Tamandua tetradactyla: one gene and its partner. Each later gene encodes a partner of the first gene's protein in a complex. Links are inferred from orthologs where the notes say so. Each region holds a gene or a part of one and is shown on either strand. Other genes may lie near its edges.

Evidence for each region. Proteins that work in one complex are often made in the same cells at the same time.
Region 2: the proteins of PRKAA1 (region 1) and PRKAB2 are in contact, whole or in part, in a crystal structure (PDB 4RER), measured with the Homo sapiens proteins. The link is inferred for Tamandua tetradactyla from reciprocal best matches to the Homo sapiens genes PRKAA1 and PRKAB2. Residues at the interface, in NP_006242.5 of Homo sapiens: Gly20, Val22, Lys40, Lys42, Asn59, Arg60, Gln61, Lys62, Val69, Arg73, Val93, Ile94, Ser95, Thr96, Pro97, Ser98, Asp99, Ile100, Met145, Met175, Ser176, Asp177, Gly178, Glu179, Phe180, Arg199, Leu200, Ala202, Pro204, Glu205; in NP_005390.1 of Homo sapiens: Val80, Arg82, Ser84, Ser108, His109, Asp111, Ile115, Ser138, Asp159, Phe160, Glu161, Val162, Ala165, Leu166, Ser182, Ser184, Gly190, Gln191, Glu192, Met193, Tyr194, Ala195, Phe196, Glu199, Arg201, Lys203, Ser204, Pro205, Pro206, Ile207.

Annotation. Positions count from the first base shown.
Region 1 is NC_135335.1:90,938,808-90,946,454, reverse strand, and holds the start of PRKAA1 (5'-AMP-activated protein kinase catalytic subunit alpha-1), read left to right. Parts: upstream 1-4,449; 5' UTR 4,450-4,481; coding exon 4,482-4,608; intron 4,609-7,647. UniProt on the Homo sapiens protein: Catalytic subunit of AMP-activated protein kinase (AMPK), an energy sensor protein kinase that plays a key role in regulating cellular energy metabolism.
Region 2 is NC_135330.1:95,766-103,879, reverse strand, and holds the start of PRKAB2 (5'-AMP-activated protein kinase subunit beta-2), read left to right. Parts: upstream 1-4,824; 5' UTR 4,825-5,002; coding exon 5,003-5,158; intron 5,159-8,114. UniProt on the Homo sapiens protein: Non-catalytic subunit of AMP-activated protein kinase (AMPK), an energy sensor protein kinase that plays a key role in regulating cellular energy metabolism.

The DNA of each region.
Region 1 (7,647 bases):
ATCATTTCTTAGCTAGATGATGCTGAGTCTACTGTTTTACCCCCACTTTGGTCTTGCTCTTCTCCCATCTATCCTCCACACTAAAGTCAGAGTTTTGGTTATTTTTTCCTAACAGTTAATTTTTTGACTGTGTAATATGTGCATACATTCCAAAATAAAAAAGTTACAAAAGGGTATATTGGGAAAAGTGCATCTGTCTTTTGCCCCTGACTCTTGGTCACTTCCCAGAGGCACCTATAGCTACAAATTTCCTGGGTGAAAAAATGTATTTCTAAAATGCATGTGCTTTACATCTTCCCATGGTTCACCACTGTTTACAAAATAATGTGCAAACTGATAAGAGCATAACAGGACTTTCAAGACTCAAGATTTACATACTATTTTCTCTAAGAAATCCATCTACACCTTCTTTTGTAACCACTTGAATTTCTCCAAATAGTCTTAAGCTCCTTAGTTCTGGGAAATTGCATATGCTTTTCTCCCTACTTGGGATGCCTTCTCCAATTTCCCCAATCTCCACGCCAACTTTTTCTTTGAGTAGAAAACTTCATCTCTTAATATTCACTCATAAGATATTCAAGCTAAAGACTTTGAAGACCTCTAAAGTTAAAGGTTTAGCCCTCTCTTCATTATGATCTTTCAGGATTATGTTTTAGTTTGCCATGCTTAAAATGGCAAATACCACACAATGAGTTGGCTTAAACAATGGGAATTTATTGCCTCACATTTTTGAGGCTAGGAAAAGTCCACAATGTAGATATGAGCAAAGCTTCCTTTTTCTCCAAGGATTGTATAGGTTCTGGGGCTGACTGCCAGCAACCTTAGGGTTCCTTGGCTTCCCTATAACATTATGATGTCCTCTTCTTTATCTTCCAGGTTTCTCCTGACTTTCAGTTTCTCATTAAGGCTTCCAGCAATCTGATCAAAGGCCTGCCCTCATTCAATTGGGCCACACACTCAAAGAAAAGCAACATCTTTAACAAGACCTATTTACCATGGATTCATACCTACAGAGATGTGGATTAAGATTAAGAACATGTTTTCTTTGGGGTATAAAACTCAGTCTATCCCATCCACCCTCTGGACCCCCAAAACACATATTCTTCCCACATGAAGAATACCTTCATTGCATCAAGATACCTCAAAAATCTTAAGCCATTTCAGTAATAATTCTAAGTTTAAAGTCTCGTCAAAATTAGACATGGATGGGGGTGAGAGGGTAGTTCAGCTGTGGAATTCTTGCCTGCCATGCGGGAGACCAGGGTTCGATTCCCAGCCCACATACTTTCCAAACAAGCAAAACAAACAAACAGAAAAGCCAAACAAAAACAAACAAACAAAAATTCAACAAATGGTGCTGCAATAAAGGGATACTCACATGGAAAAAGAATGACATGTAACCCCCGCCACACTAGCATACAAAGAAAAAAAAAATTAGACATGGATGTGAACTGTCCTGGGGCAAAATTCCTCTCTGTGAAATCTAGCAAACAAGTTATCTGTTTCCAAAACACGATGAGAGCAGAGGCATGGAATAGTCCAATTCTAGAAGGGAGATATTGGAAGGAAAGGAAAGGCCAGAGGTCCCAGGCAAGTCCAAAATCCATCAGGGTGAATTATGGCGAATTTCAAGCTTTGAGGGTTATCTGTGGATAGATGTGGGTGTACTGAAATGGCAGCCCACTCTTTCCAAGTGATTGTGCAGTGGCCATCTGCACTAGGTCTCTGTGCTGAGACCTAGTTTCTCCCCAATCAAATATCTGCCCCCAAACTGGGGTTGTAGACCGCACTCGCTTTAAGTATTGGGGTACAGCTGAACTCTCCCCATGTGCTGGGGTGTAAAACTCAACACTTCCAAGCACATGGGCAGAAGGCCTGCCACCTCCAAGCATAAGGACAGACCCATCCATTAGGCCTACACCTCTACTTCCATGACTCTACCACTGAAGTCATTCTTTTTTCAGTTTGTCCATACTCTGTTTCTTTTAGTCCACTGGAATGTTCACCTGGATAGTGTAGGGTCTAGCAAGCTATGATGACCTTAAGAAGAAAAGACTAAGACTAGACATACCAGCCTTAAGCTCTGGAGGGCTAGAGAGGAAGCAGATGACAACCAATTACTCAGCTCTTCCTCAAAGGAAGTTCTACACCAAGGTATTGGATCAGCTGGGTATGTTTTTATCAATGCTAAGACACAATGTGTCTTCTTTGAACTAATAAAAGTTGAAATACTGAAGTTTGCAAACAATTTATCCCCACCCTCACTTCAGTTAAGGTACAATGGATTCAAGGTTACCTCCATAATTTTCCTCCTGCTCAGTTACATTCCAATATACTTTGTCGAGAAAAGGGGCAGATTTACAACTGATGGGTCAGGAAACCGGGTATAAACCACAGTCTACCTTATCTATTCTTCCACCCTAGAAGAATGTCCGGCAAGTGAACATTATCTATCTTGGGTGGGGGGAAAATAGGGAGAACTGCTATCTTAGACCATGAGCTCCTCCAGGGCAGAGACCATGACTTTTCATTTTGTTTCTTTCTCCTGTGTCTGGCAGTTATCAAACTTCAAGAAAAGAGGGGATGAATATTTGGGAACAGATCAATAGGAGGTTGGAAAGGAGGAAGGCTGGAAATAGTTGGACATTTTTGGGGGGTACAGGGAATCCTGCTCAGGTAAGGCAGATGTGTGGGTTGTTTTACCACACACGAAAGAATGAAGGAAATAGAAAAAGCAAAGGAATAAGGAAAGGAGGCTTATTATTTACCTTCTTGGGAACTGGTAGATGTTTATTGGAATCAGGTTTTTAACTCAACATAAGAAAACAAACAAACAAATCAGCAACTAAAGCCGCTTAACCAGGCATTACAGGAGAGTGGAGAAGATAACCTTTAAGTTCCTGCCCAATCCTATTTTCCATGATTCTAGGTTTTGTTTCCCCCTTTCACTGAATAGTGGCATTTAATGAATATTATTAAATAGATTTGCAACCTGAAATAACATCAGAGCAGAAACAAACTGATAGTTAACAGAATCCAGAGAGCAATTTGAAGAGATCCCAAATACCTGAGTTGTAGAAACTCAAAAGGCAAACAGGGTAAGCCAAAGAAGCTAGAGAACGAAAGTTACAACAGTAACCCCTGCCCACTCCCCAAATATCTCAATAATCAACAATTTCTGAACTTTTGGGCCTTCAGTATATGTGCAGTCCATAGTACAACAGAGACTTGGTTATCTGAGCAAGTCTACTTGGAACTGTTCTCTATTTTGTGTACTTCTAAGCTCAAGGTAGGAATGATTGCTTCCTCTGCAAGTATTCTGCTTTGTACAAAGCAGTGTTTAATGCACATTCCTTTGCTTTCATAAATAGAAAAATATATGTAAACCAGGAGAGCTGGGTAGCTGATTTTTGTTGCAAAGAAAAATGATATTTTGTCTTTTTATTTAAATACTATTTTCATGAATAGCACAACTTTTTGCCTACTGATAACAGGCCTAGGTGCTATGACACTGCAAATATGAGAGCACTTAACTGTTTTTTTGATGAGATACTTGATTTTGCTCCGTTAGAGTAGCATCGAGTAAGAAACTCACTTAAATTTCGATACAAATAGACATACTCTCCTTCTTTTCCCTATGAAATGGCATGATTTCATTCGTATAGACAACAGACGGTCTCGTTTATTGCAAGTGTAACAAACATTTGTCGATTGATCTGGCCGATGTAACTGTAAGCCTTGTTTTCAGGCCAATGAAATTTACATTTTGCTGATAATTTAAAAATGTGAATTCTCATATTCCAAAAGGGCTGGGTAACAACCCTTCCCCCACTACTTACATACATCCTCAACCTGCTCCCAGCAGCAGAGCTTACTTCGACAAAGTCTACTTGAGTTGCCCAACAACAACTTCCGCAAATAAAAGTACAAAAGAGCAGTGGGGAGAAACCACAAGACGGTGCAAGTGAAAACTCCCTACGGCTTCCATAACGCATCCCAGAGGAAAAGATAAAAATAAAGTTTAGAAATACAGTGGCAAAGTCGTGTTCAATCCAAGCTACAGTAGTAATAAACCACGCATCTGCATCATTCAAGCGAGATTCCCGGTGCACAGCTCCGCTTTTGGAATCACACTGGGAGCAGTCCCCCGGGAGCCTGGAGTGACCACAGCAGGAAGAGACTCCACCCGGGGGGAAAGGAGCGGAGGGGCCACCGCCTTTCTCTCGCGCGCAGCCCCCTCCCGCGAGCAGATGGGCAGGCGCCCGGGGCCATAACGATGCTGGGCGAGGTAAGGGGTACTGACGGTGACCCCGTCCAGCGACCTCCGTTCGTCCCGCCAGGGGGCGCGTCTGTACACAACAGCCACTGCGTGGACCAAGCGGGTGGTGGTTTGTTCAGGTCTGCGGCTCCCCTCGCGCCTCCCCGCCCACCCCCGGCGCGGCACGGCCCTGCCCGCCCCCTCCGCCCCCTCCCGTAGCGCCATGCGCAGACTCAGTTCCTGGAGAAAGATGGCGGCAGCCGAGAAGCAGAAACACGACGGACGGGTGAAGATCGGCCACTACATCCTGGGGGACACGCTAGGCGTCGGCACCTTCGGCAAAGTGAAGGGTGAGGACCCCCGGGGCAAGTTTTGGCCCCTGCTCGGGATCCCGCCGACTTCCGCTGTTCCCACCTCCTCTTCTTTCCCGGTCCCCCTGCGCTCCTCGTCTCCCTCGCTGGACAGCCCCTGTCCAGGCTCCGGCCAGAGCGGGGCCCGAGACTGCCGCGGGACTGCGACGCGGCCCCCCAAGGCCGGGGTGGGGTGGGGACCGAGCTCCATGGCGATGGCGCCGCGGCCAGAGGGGGCTCGTCGGTGCCAGGGGTCGGGTTGCGGAGGTGCGAACTTTCCCAGGTGTGGAGTCGGGGAGTTGCGAGGCGCGCTCCCAGTGCTGGGGGTGAGGGGTGGGGACGGCGCCGGGGTGCCTCGCCAGGAGCCCCACGGAGGTGGCCTCCTGTTCGTCCCGCGCTGTGCTCCTCTGGATCACGGCCAGCCCATCGCTTCCCCGGCAGTCCTGGGCATTGTCCCTGTTTCCGTCTTCTTCAGGCTGTGGACTTATCTGCTTCTGCAGATTGCCGACTGTGAAATGTGTTCCCCGAAGAGTGAGGTTGCTTTTGGGAGGTAGCCTACAGAATTACAAAAACAAAACAAAAAACCATCCATCTCGTCGAGGAGGATCCTTGATTTCCTTTGGAGCAGTTAATGAAGTTCTATATTTGCAGTGTATGGTTTACGTTCTGAGTGCGGACACCGCGCATCAGTGTTTCTGAATTATCAGGATTTTCTCATTCTGTGTGCTGAACCTGCTTGTTGGTGCAGATGTTTCCTCCAGACAGTAGTTATTGGTTCGTTTGTATAGTTCATTTCCATTTATTTTCACAGAATGTTACTTCTATTTTAATAAACAATTTAATGTACATCATTGAACTTTTTTTAAGTGGTAGTTTCTTAGCGCTTTTGTTTCAACACAGTATTATGGAAATAACGAACGTGCTCTCCAGTTCACTAATTCTGGCACAAATATAATTGCAAAATGTATGGGGCATTAATGCTTTTTTTCTTCAAAATTGTGACTTTGGTTATTAGAGATGTAGATCAAATAAGTATGAAACTTATAAAAAGAATTTATGAGAAAGAGAAAAAAAATTTATGCATTGGTTTTGGATAGACTATGACTTGCATATATTTACTAAGCACCTGGCAAATATTTGACTTGAAAGAAAAAAGTGGTTGAATGTCTGTACAGTGAATTAAGTAACAGTCTTACTCTCCTGGAGCTAAATAAACATTTTCTGATTTTATCTAGAGTTGGAAGAGGAAAACCCTTCCTTCTCTTGCCCTTTCTCAGTTATAGAACCAGAAATTTGCTGTGAAGTGTACAGGGAAGCAGCTGCCTACAACTGCTTGTGAAAATCAGCAGGGCCAACAATGTAAGGAAGTAAGAAGCAAATGCCAGAATAGAGTAATAACATTCATTAGAGTGGGTCTCTATTAGACTAGTAATGTTTCTGAGGCCTCAAAGTTATTATTTTGGCCCCATCTCCTTAATTTTAGCAATTACTGACTGCTCTTTAGTTTACTAGTACTTGTAAGAAATTCTCATTAATGTCCCACAAAGATGCCGGAACCCGGAGTTCTGTTTGGATTAGGGTGTTCTTCATTCCCCTAATTTAGACCTGAATTTGATCAGGTCTCATTTTCTTATTTGCTAAGTGGCTTTTGGCATGGCAGGTAGGAAGGCAAGAAGAGATTTTTCATTTTCTGAATTTGATCTGTGATGTGGTTGTGACATGGATTCTTTTATTCTGCTGTCCCTTAGCCTTTACTTCTCCTTCTCCCTCTTGAAGTACATACTCTATCAAGTCAATAACTTCACCAAATATAGATAGACCAATATTGGTCATAAGATCAGAGGTTTGTGAATAAAGGTATGTTTGTTCATAATACGTTAGTTGATGTTCAAAATCCTCAACCAGTGCATTTTTATGTTGTTAAATAGTTAGGATGTTTTTTGTCATGAGTAAGAGAAAATGCACCTCAGAGTAGCCAAGAATATCTTTTCAGAGCAACAAAGTCTATTATTTCTTGAGTGAGTCTCACTGGCTTATCCAGTCCCTTTAGCTAGGGATACCAAGTGCTGACTGGCTTAGGCTTGTGTTCCTAAGTAGGAATTAGCAAGGGGAATGGCATTACTCTTGTAGGAATAGGGTTCACTCTGGGATGTGTGTGTGAGGACATCTTCTGAAGTACTTGGATAATGTGTGTATGGGGCGGGGTGGAGAGGCAGATACCATATATATTGCTAGGATAGAGAAAGGGGAACATGGGTGCTGGGTGAGTGGGCAAAAGTAGTGATCATAGTGGTGACATTAGTAATTTATACCAGCCTTAGTTTGACAAGAATTCTTCTGAATGATAGGTTTAGTAATTTATTTCAATTGAGACACTTTGGAATAGATAGAGCTTTTAAAATTTTCTTTTAAACTTTCTTTGGTGTGAAATATATATACAGAAAAGCAGTAAATTTCAAAGTACATTTTAACCAGTAGTTATGGAAGAGATTTCCAAGTTTGATATGGGTTACAGTTCCACAATTTCAGATTTTTCCTTCTAGTTACTCCAAGACACTGGAGGCTAAAAGAAATACCAATATAATGTAGCAGTCATATAATGTAGCAGTCATACTCATTGAATTGTCTTTTGTGTTATAATGCCTCTGTCTTCTTTGATATAGATAGAGCTTTTAGAGTTAATTATAAACATTGATAAATTTAACATTAAAAAGAAATCTAATAGATATGTTATTGAAAAGCAAAAAAATTCTCAATATGATCTGTGTTTACAGGAAGTATTTTTGGGAGAAGAAATCTATAGATTTTTTTTTTTTCTGTTATAGGCAGAAACAAAGCAAAACAAAATAAAATATGAGACATGTTCCCTTCTTACCACTTGGCCCTAACTTGCTGCCTAGAATATATGTCATAGCTGTAATTCCATCTCAGGCCATGAGTAAAGACCATACCCAGAGGATGGCGAAGTTGAAAGTTGGAAGAAGCCTGGGTTCCTGAGGATTTTGTGGAATAGGTCAACCTTACTGTCTGTCTGGATTG
Region 2 (8,114 bases), on another chromosome or scaffold:
CATTTGTGGGTGTGAACACTTTGTAAATAGTACCTTTTGAGGAGAGTACTTCAAATAAAGTATGTCCCACCTCAGTTGGGAAGGGTTTTAATACTACTACTGGAGTCCTTTATAAGAGAATGAAATTCAGACGGAAAGAAAGCCAGAGGAAGCAAGAAACTGAAACAGAACCCGAAAGAGAAGGAAGCGACCAGGAGATGCTACTGTGTGCCCTGCCATGTGACCGAGGAACCAGGGATCACCAGTAGCTGCCCCAGAGTGCCAGTTTTACAGAAGAGAGCTTCGTCTTGATGATGCTTTGATTTGGAAATTTCCCTGGCCTCAAAACTGTGAACGAATAACTTCCTATTGTTTATTCCGACTCTTTTTCATGGTAATTGCTTAAGCAGCCTAGAAAAATAAAACAGGTGGTTTTAGGGTACAGCAGAGATGGGGTGCATAAACAGAAGTGGCAGCAGTGCCTAGTGGAAGTGGGGAAGGCTGGGAGACTTTTTTTTGTAAATACATGAGGTTGCTCTAGGAAATTCTCATTGGTAACCCAAGGAGGCTCTATAGGTCACTAGGATCCTGCAGCTGATGACAAAGCAGTGAAACTGAGTTTCTACTGTCACTGTGATCCCACTCTAAACCCCAGACAGGTGTGCCCTGGAGAAATATGATTTCATTCAGGGTGATGTCCTTGAGTCATTAAGGAAAGATACAGCTATGTTCACTGCATGTGTTAAAGAAGACAGAAAATTTACTTTATGTTAACAATTTCAATATTTTTTAAAGTTGAGACAAAAACATAACCCTATGTGTGGTAGATCATGTAGATGGCTGCAATAATAACTCTCGTACCACATGCTCTTTTATGAGTGAGCTCACCACTGTCTAATCAAGAGGTGAAGTCTATTTCCCCTCTCTTTGAGTTTGTGCTGGCCCTGCTACTACTTTAGCCAACAGAATGCGGTGGGATGGATATCCTGGGTCTTCTAAGCTTTTAGCACTCCGAGGTAAGGCAACCACCATGTCAGAAGTCAGACTAACCTGAGACTGCCATGCTATGAGATAAACCAAGCTAGACTCATGGAGAAACAATAAAGAGAAAGAGATGCCCAGTCAGCCCCTTGCTGTTCCAGCCATCTCATCTGAGGCACCTGACATACGACAAAAGAAATCATCTAGGACATTTGAGCCTCAAAATATACCACATGAAGCAGAGATGAACCATCCCCACTGATTGTTATATAACTGTGAACAAATAAATGATTATTGCTATTCTAAGTTAGGTTTGGGGAGCTATGGAATAGAAAACTGAAACTCTGCTTCAAGGAAAACCCATATGCTTTAGTTTGTAAACTGCTGGAATGCAATATACCATAAACAGAATGGTTTTTAAAATTAGTGGGGAAAATTCTGGACCTGTAAATTGGGTCCCTCCTCCTTTCATTGGGCAGTGCATGGCCTTCACTACCACTTCTTAGTTTGTATAAAAATATAAATTCAATGGTTCATTTTTAAAAATAATCAGTTTATGCAATGGTCAAGCAATCTTTGTATAGAAACTTGTATCTTTCCTCTTGCTAGAACTAATTTTGATAATTATATTAGGTTGGACAGATTGTTTTCATTATTTTATTGAGGTATGATTTTCATACAGTACAGTTTTGACAAACACATATATCACTGCAATCAAGATACTAGAACTGTTCCATAACACACCCAGCCCCCCCAAATTCCTCATTGTGCTTTATAACCAACCACACCCCCACCCACAACTTCCAGTCACCACTAATCTGTTTTCTGAACCATAGTTTCGCTTTTTACGAATGTCATACAAATGGAATCTTACTTCTTTTGTTAGTCTAATGCATTTGAGATTGATCGATTGTGTTACCGGTATCATTTTATTCCTTTTTATTGCGGAATAGTGTTCCATCGTATGGCTAGAACACATTTTATTTATCAGTTCATTACGGGAGGGAGTTTGTTTTTGAATAAAAACAGGTAAGTCATAGTACACATAAACATTTGTGCACAGGTTTTTACGTGAACCTGTTTTTATTTCACACAAATAAATACCTAAGAGTGGAATTACTAGGCTGAATAATAAGTGTATGTTTAATTTGTAACGTTTATACAAAAGAGCCGATTGCTTTTTGAAATGAGAACCACCAAGACCAGAGGTCACATCCATTCTTGATCACAAATGAGGGGTGACCCCTGGTGAGCAGAGATGGGATGAGAAAATCAGGCCCTCAAACCAGTCTAACTTTTCATCTAGTTCTGTAAAATCAATACACTCTTCCTCCAGCCTCACATCCTCACATCTCAGAAGAAGCAGGACAACTTTAGTACCTTTACTGTGCTGTGAGGCCCTCCCATGATTTATTTTTCTCAATCTGTGAGGTAGAATGGCTCATCAGAGATCTGGCAATGCCTTTCTAGATATAGCAGTAGCATGGGGACCCTCACCAATTACTTTGCCTATTAACTATTTCTTTTCCTTCCATCCTGAAAGAAAATGGAGCATTTGAGATAACAGCAATAAAACTACTGCCATGGTTTAGGGGTGCTTCTTTACCTGGTCATCCCTGAGTCTAATCAAAAATAATAATCGGGGGCTAGGGAGAAGTACCTAGCCCTTCCTACAGTGTCACACTGCTTTCGTTTTGTGTCTAAACCATGCACTATGCAAAGAGGACTTTTATTTTTAACTGTTGATTGATTTATAAATGCTATTAGTGCAGAACAATGTCACGGATAATCCCCCCAAAATAATAATAATAGAAAACAGTTCCATTTGGTTTTGAAATACGGTAAATTGTAAACAGTTTATTTCTCTTCTTAAGTTTTCCATAGATTAATATAATACTAGGTTTGCTTTTCCTAAACTCATGGGACGATGGCATGGATATACATATTAGGGACACATTTAGCATGGAGAAACTAGAGTCTGAAAACTAATTCATACACAAGTCAAGATTTAATGTATTATTCCTTCAAGGGACTTGAAGGAAAGCCTGAAAGGAACTAGGGGGATGATGAGCGTTAATCAAACAGAAGTACTTATCAAGATTTAGAAGGAAGCTGTAGCAAAAAGGGTATTTTCTTCCTGCAAACTGCCTTTGGTCAAGAGTCAAAGGAAGTCTGACTGGAGAAGGGGCATACCACAGAAGAATAGGGGAGAAGTGGATTCGTTGAAGTAAAGTGAATTTCCAACTTCATATAAAAATGTATTTTTCCACCAATAGAGCTGCTTACTCAGAAAATGCAGCCTTGCTGTGGCTCGGTGGTCCCCATCATCGGCTGGGTTTAAGTAAGACATATAGTGATCATTTGCACACTTTCTTGCGCAAATCTTTATTAAAAGCTTACTCTGCACATGATTCCGTATGGATCATGAACAGGAATCAGAACTGAGCCTGTTCTGCCGGTTTTGATATTTTTAATGTGCCTACACATACCAGGGAGATGTTAGAATGCAGACTCTGAATCTGTAGGTCTGGGATGGGGCCTGATTCTGTATTTTAATCCGATTCCAGGCGACACTAATGATGTCTGTGGATCACCAGTGAGCGGCAAAGGGTTCTAGTAGGAAATGAGACATGCATATAATTATAATTACAATACAAAGCAGTAATTAGTCACCAGCACAGAAGCTCCATTAATTATCAACAAAAAGCTAAGACGGTCTTTGCCCTTCTATGCAACCACTGTTTCTTCTGTTTTCATTAATGCTGTTTCTTCACTACTGTTCCTTCTGAGGCTGCTGTTGCACTCGCCTTAGCCTACAACAGCCTTCCCCCTCCTCTCCTTGGACTAGCATTTTACTTGTTTTTCAAGGTCTACTCCCCTACCACTCCTTGAAGCCTTCCCCGGGGCCGCAGTCGGTTAACTGCCCTTTCCACTTGTCGCTCCAGACACCACCCAGCGTAAACCTGGGGCCGTAACAACGCTTCCTTCTGCCGGGACGCGGAGGCCCGCTTTCTCATTCCCCGCCCGAACCCGACTTCCCAGCGGTCGCTCATCAGCAAGACACCGCCCAGAAAACGCTCCGGAGACCGGCAGCAGGCAGGCCCGACGCTCGCGGCATGGCGGGCGTCCCTCAGCGCCGCCGTCTCCTCGGCGCCCCCGGGCCCTGCCCCCACCGGCGGGCGGCTCTGCCGAGCGGCCCATCATCCAGCGGCGGCGGCTAGAGAGGCAGCGGGACCCGGCGCCGCGAGAGGCGGCCTCGGGGAAGGGCGAGGCGGGTCCTGCACGGCGGGCCTCGCAGCCACTTCAGGAGGAAACCCGGGTCCTCGCCCTGGGCGGTCTCATCTGCACAGCAGCCATCGCACCAGCGGCCCTGGAGGAGGGAGAGCATCGCGGAAGGTGATGGCGAGCGGGGGCGCCCGGGGGCAGGGAGCACGGGCTGGCGGGGGCGCCCGAAGGCGGCTCCGGAGGAGGAGGGGCCTGTGAGGGGTCGGGACGCCCGAAGGCGGCTCCGGAGGAGGAGGGGCCTGTGAGGGGTCGGGACGCCCCAAGGCGGCTCCCGAGGGGGAGGGGTGAGGGGAGGGGGAGGAGGAGGAGGGGCCTGTGAGGGGTCGGGACGCCCGAAGGCGGCTCCCGAGGGGGAGGGGGGAGGGGAGGGGGAGGAGGAGGAGGGGCCTGTGAGGGGTCAGGACGCCCCAAGGCGGCTCCCGAGGGGGAGGGGCCTGTGAGGGGTCGGGACGCCCCAAGGCGGCTCCCGAGGAGGAGGAGGGGGAGGAGGAGGGGCCTGTGAGGGGTCGGGACGCCCCAAGGCGGCTCCCGAGGGGGAGGGGGGAGGGGGAGGAGGAGCCTGTGAGGGGTCGCGGCGCCCGAAGGCGGCTCCCGAGGAGGAGGAGGAGGAGCCTGTGAGGGGTCGGCGGTTTCCGGCGCCTGTGGAAGCGCGTCCTGGCCCGGCCTCGGCCGGCCTTCCTCTGCGGGGTTCCCCTCGGGCTCTCGGCGCAGGCCCGGCCGAGCCGTCTCCATCCTAGGTGGGCCCCGCGCGGCGGCCATGGGAAACACCGCCAGCGAGCGGCTGTCCGGGGAGCGCCACGGCGCCAAGGCTGCTCGCGGCGAGGGCGCGGGCGGCCAGGCCCCGGGCAAGGAGCACCGGATCCTGGTGGGGAGCACGGACGACCCCAACGTCTTCAGCCTGCCCGACCCCAAGGTGAGCGCCCCGGCCTGCGCCGCTGCGGTGCGCCTGGTTTCGGGGCGCCTCTTCCTTCTCACTGGTCTGGGTTGAGGGTTTTTTTAATTAGACAGATTTTCTGGCTGGCCTCTAGCGAGGCAGCCTCAAAAATAGCATAAAGAGGTGGAGTTATTTTCCTGGTTTTCTGACCAATCTGTGGCCGCCTTTTAGGACGGGACTAACAGACCCCCCAGACCCCTCGTTCTTCTGGCGGGCCTGGGGGCTCTTCTGGAGGACTGCTGAGCTGGACATGGTTGCGGAGCTGCTGCGCACAGGCGGCAGTTCTCTGCCCCCGAGCTGGGGAATGGAGCTCAGCGCCTCTCCCTCCGCCGCTCTGGCCGGGCTCTCAGCCGGAACCGTGCTCGTGGAACCTTTATCCTGTTGGAGACCAGTGAAGGCCGGCCACACTGGTGACTGTCCACTCTCCACCCTGCGCCTTCGAGTGGGGTGCCGAGGCAGTGCTGCTGCCGCGTCCAGGCCCGCGTGTTCGCGCGTCTCGGCTTCCCCGCAGTACCTCGGCGTGGCCACGGCTCAAAGAGACCCACAGCTTCCCTGGAAGGTGGTGACTGCCCCGTGCTTGTTACCATCCTGATGCCTCCGTCCGTTTTGGAGTGGTTAGCATTGACTGTCGGTCCTGCACCCCGCTGGCCGCCTCGGGGGGGGGGGGGGGGGATGGTGACACGGGAGGGGGGGAGGTGGCGGGTGTTCGGTGACTCGTCCTGCCCGCCCGCTGCCCCCGAGCCGGGCTGCCGAGAGTGGAGGCCGTGTCTCCAGCCACACTGGTGGCCTCTGAAATTGGGAGTCCGTGGTGCTGGTATTTTCTTGGATCCTGATTAAGAAAATAATCACAGAGAGAAACGCATTTCTGGGGGGTTCTTTACCCCTCCTTTTCTCCCTGCCCCACATCAGGACTACTAAATCCTTTAGGCTGTCTACACAGCCATTAGATTATACTCAAGGTGACGGGCCTCATTGTATTTTTAACCTTTTCTTACGCTGAAGACTCGGGATTTAAGTTTTTTTTAAAACTATGTGGCCTTAATTAAAGCCACGCTTGCTGTCTTTGAATTAGGGTCAGTTTTGGATCTTTCTTTCTCTCACCGCAAACTTGCTATTTGTGAAGTAATGGAATTATTTTAAGTAATTCCTAAGGTCTCTTCCAAATAAAATTCTGAAATTCTGAATCTGTCTTCTTCATTTCTTGCCTCAACGTTTTTTTTACTTAAACGCTTTCAAACTCGAGACTAGTTGTTTTGCTTCTGGGAAGTTTTGCTGACTAACTTGGGAGTAAACAGTCTTTCTGTTGTCGGCTGTCCTCGTGCCTCCCTCAGAGATGCCGTGTCTTACGGGAAAGGGCCTTTCTCCAAAGCTAGGCATATTAATAGTTTATGCCTTCATATTTTAAATGTAAAATCCAAAGGCATAAAAGTAACTGATAGAAAGGGTGATAGTGAGAGTCACTAAGGCATTGTCAGCCTTCCTTAGTTCGGTAGTTCCTAATTCTCTTTGTACCTTTACATAAGCCAATACCTTATATAATTGGAAGTTTTCTTCAGTTCTCTCTCCATTTACTTTGGATTGTGTTTCAGAGTGTAATTTTGAGGAATATCAAGAGACAGTAGAGAAGGTAAGCTACTGCAACCATTTTGGAAGGAAAGCCCAAATGAATAAGTCATCCTTTTTTTGTTTTGTGTTCCAGTAAAGTTTTATTTGTGGACACAAATGGATTCCATATCATCCTTTATTTTTAACTAACATTATTTTTTGTGGTAATTTTTTTTCCTTTTCTATGAAAAGTAATATATATACAAAAAAGCAATAAATTTCAAAGCACAGCACTATAATTAGTTGTGGAACACAGTTCAGAGTTTGATATGGTTACAGTTCCACAATTTTAGGTTTTTACTTCTAGCTGCCCTGAGATACTGGAGACTAAAAGAAACATGAATTTAATGATTCAGCACTCATACTCATTTGTTGGACCTACCTTCACTGTATAACTCCACCATCACATTTGATCTCTCTCCTACTCTTTAAGGGTATTTGGGTTATGCTCATTCTAACTTTTTCATGTTGGAAAGGTCTGCCACTAATATGGGATAGGGAGATGAAACTATCTGATGTTCTGGAGAGGCTGGGCCCTCTAGGTTTCAGGACTTATCTGGTCCAGGGACCCATCTGAAGGTTGTAGGTTTCTGGAAAGTTGCTCTAGTGCATGGAACCCTTGTAGAATCTTACATACTGCCCTAGGTGTTCTTTAGGATCAGCAAGAATGTTTTGGTTGGGGGTTGGCAAGTTATGATAGGTAGTAATGCCTGACTGAAGCTTGCCAAGAGTGACCTCCAGACTAACCTCTAAACTCTATTTGAACTCTCTCAGCCACTGATACTTCATTACACTTCTTTTCCCCCTTTGGTCAGGATGGCATTGTCGATCCGACAGTGTCATGGCCAGACTCATCCCTGGGAGTCATCTCCCATGCCTCCAGGGAGACGTTCACCTCTGGAAATCATGTCCCACGTATTTACCTATTTACTAAAGCTATTTAATCCAGTCTAAAGAGGGGATTGGCAAATTTTTTCTGTAAAAGTCCAGATAATATTTCAGACTTTGCAGCCATATAGTCGCTGTATAACTACTCAGTTCTGTGGTTGTAATGCAAAAGCCCTTGTAGAAAATATCTAAGTAAGGAGTATGACTCTGCTTCATTTAAGTTTATTAACAAAAACATCAGGCACATTGGTTACTGTTGCCAAGTCCTGAGGTAAAGGATGATAGTGAAAAGAAACTAAGGAGTTGATTGTTTTCGGAATCGTAGAAACCTCATTTCATAGTGGAAATGCTTTTCTTAAACCGGACTATATTTTTAATATGTTGCTCCTTGAGTCTCTAGAAATAATTAAAATAATCCTGGCATAGGTGAGCAAATAATGTT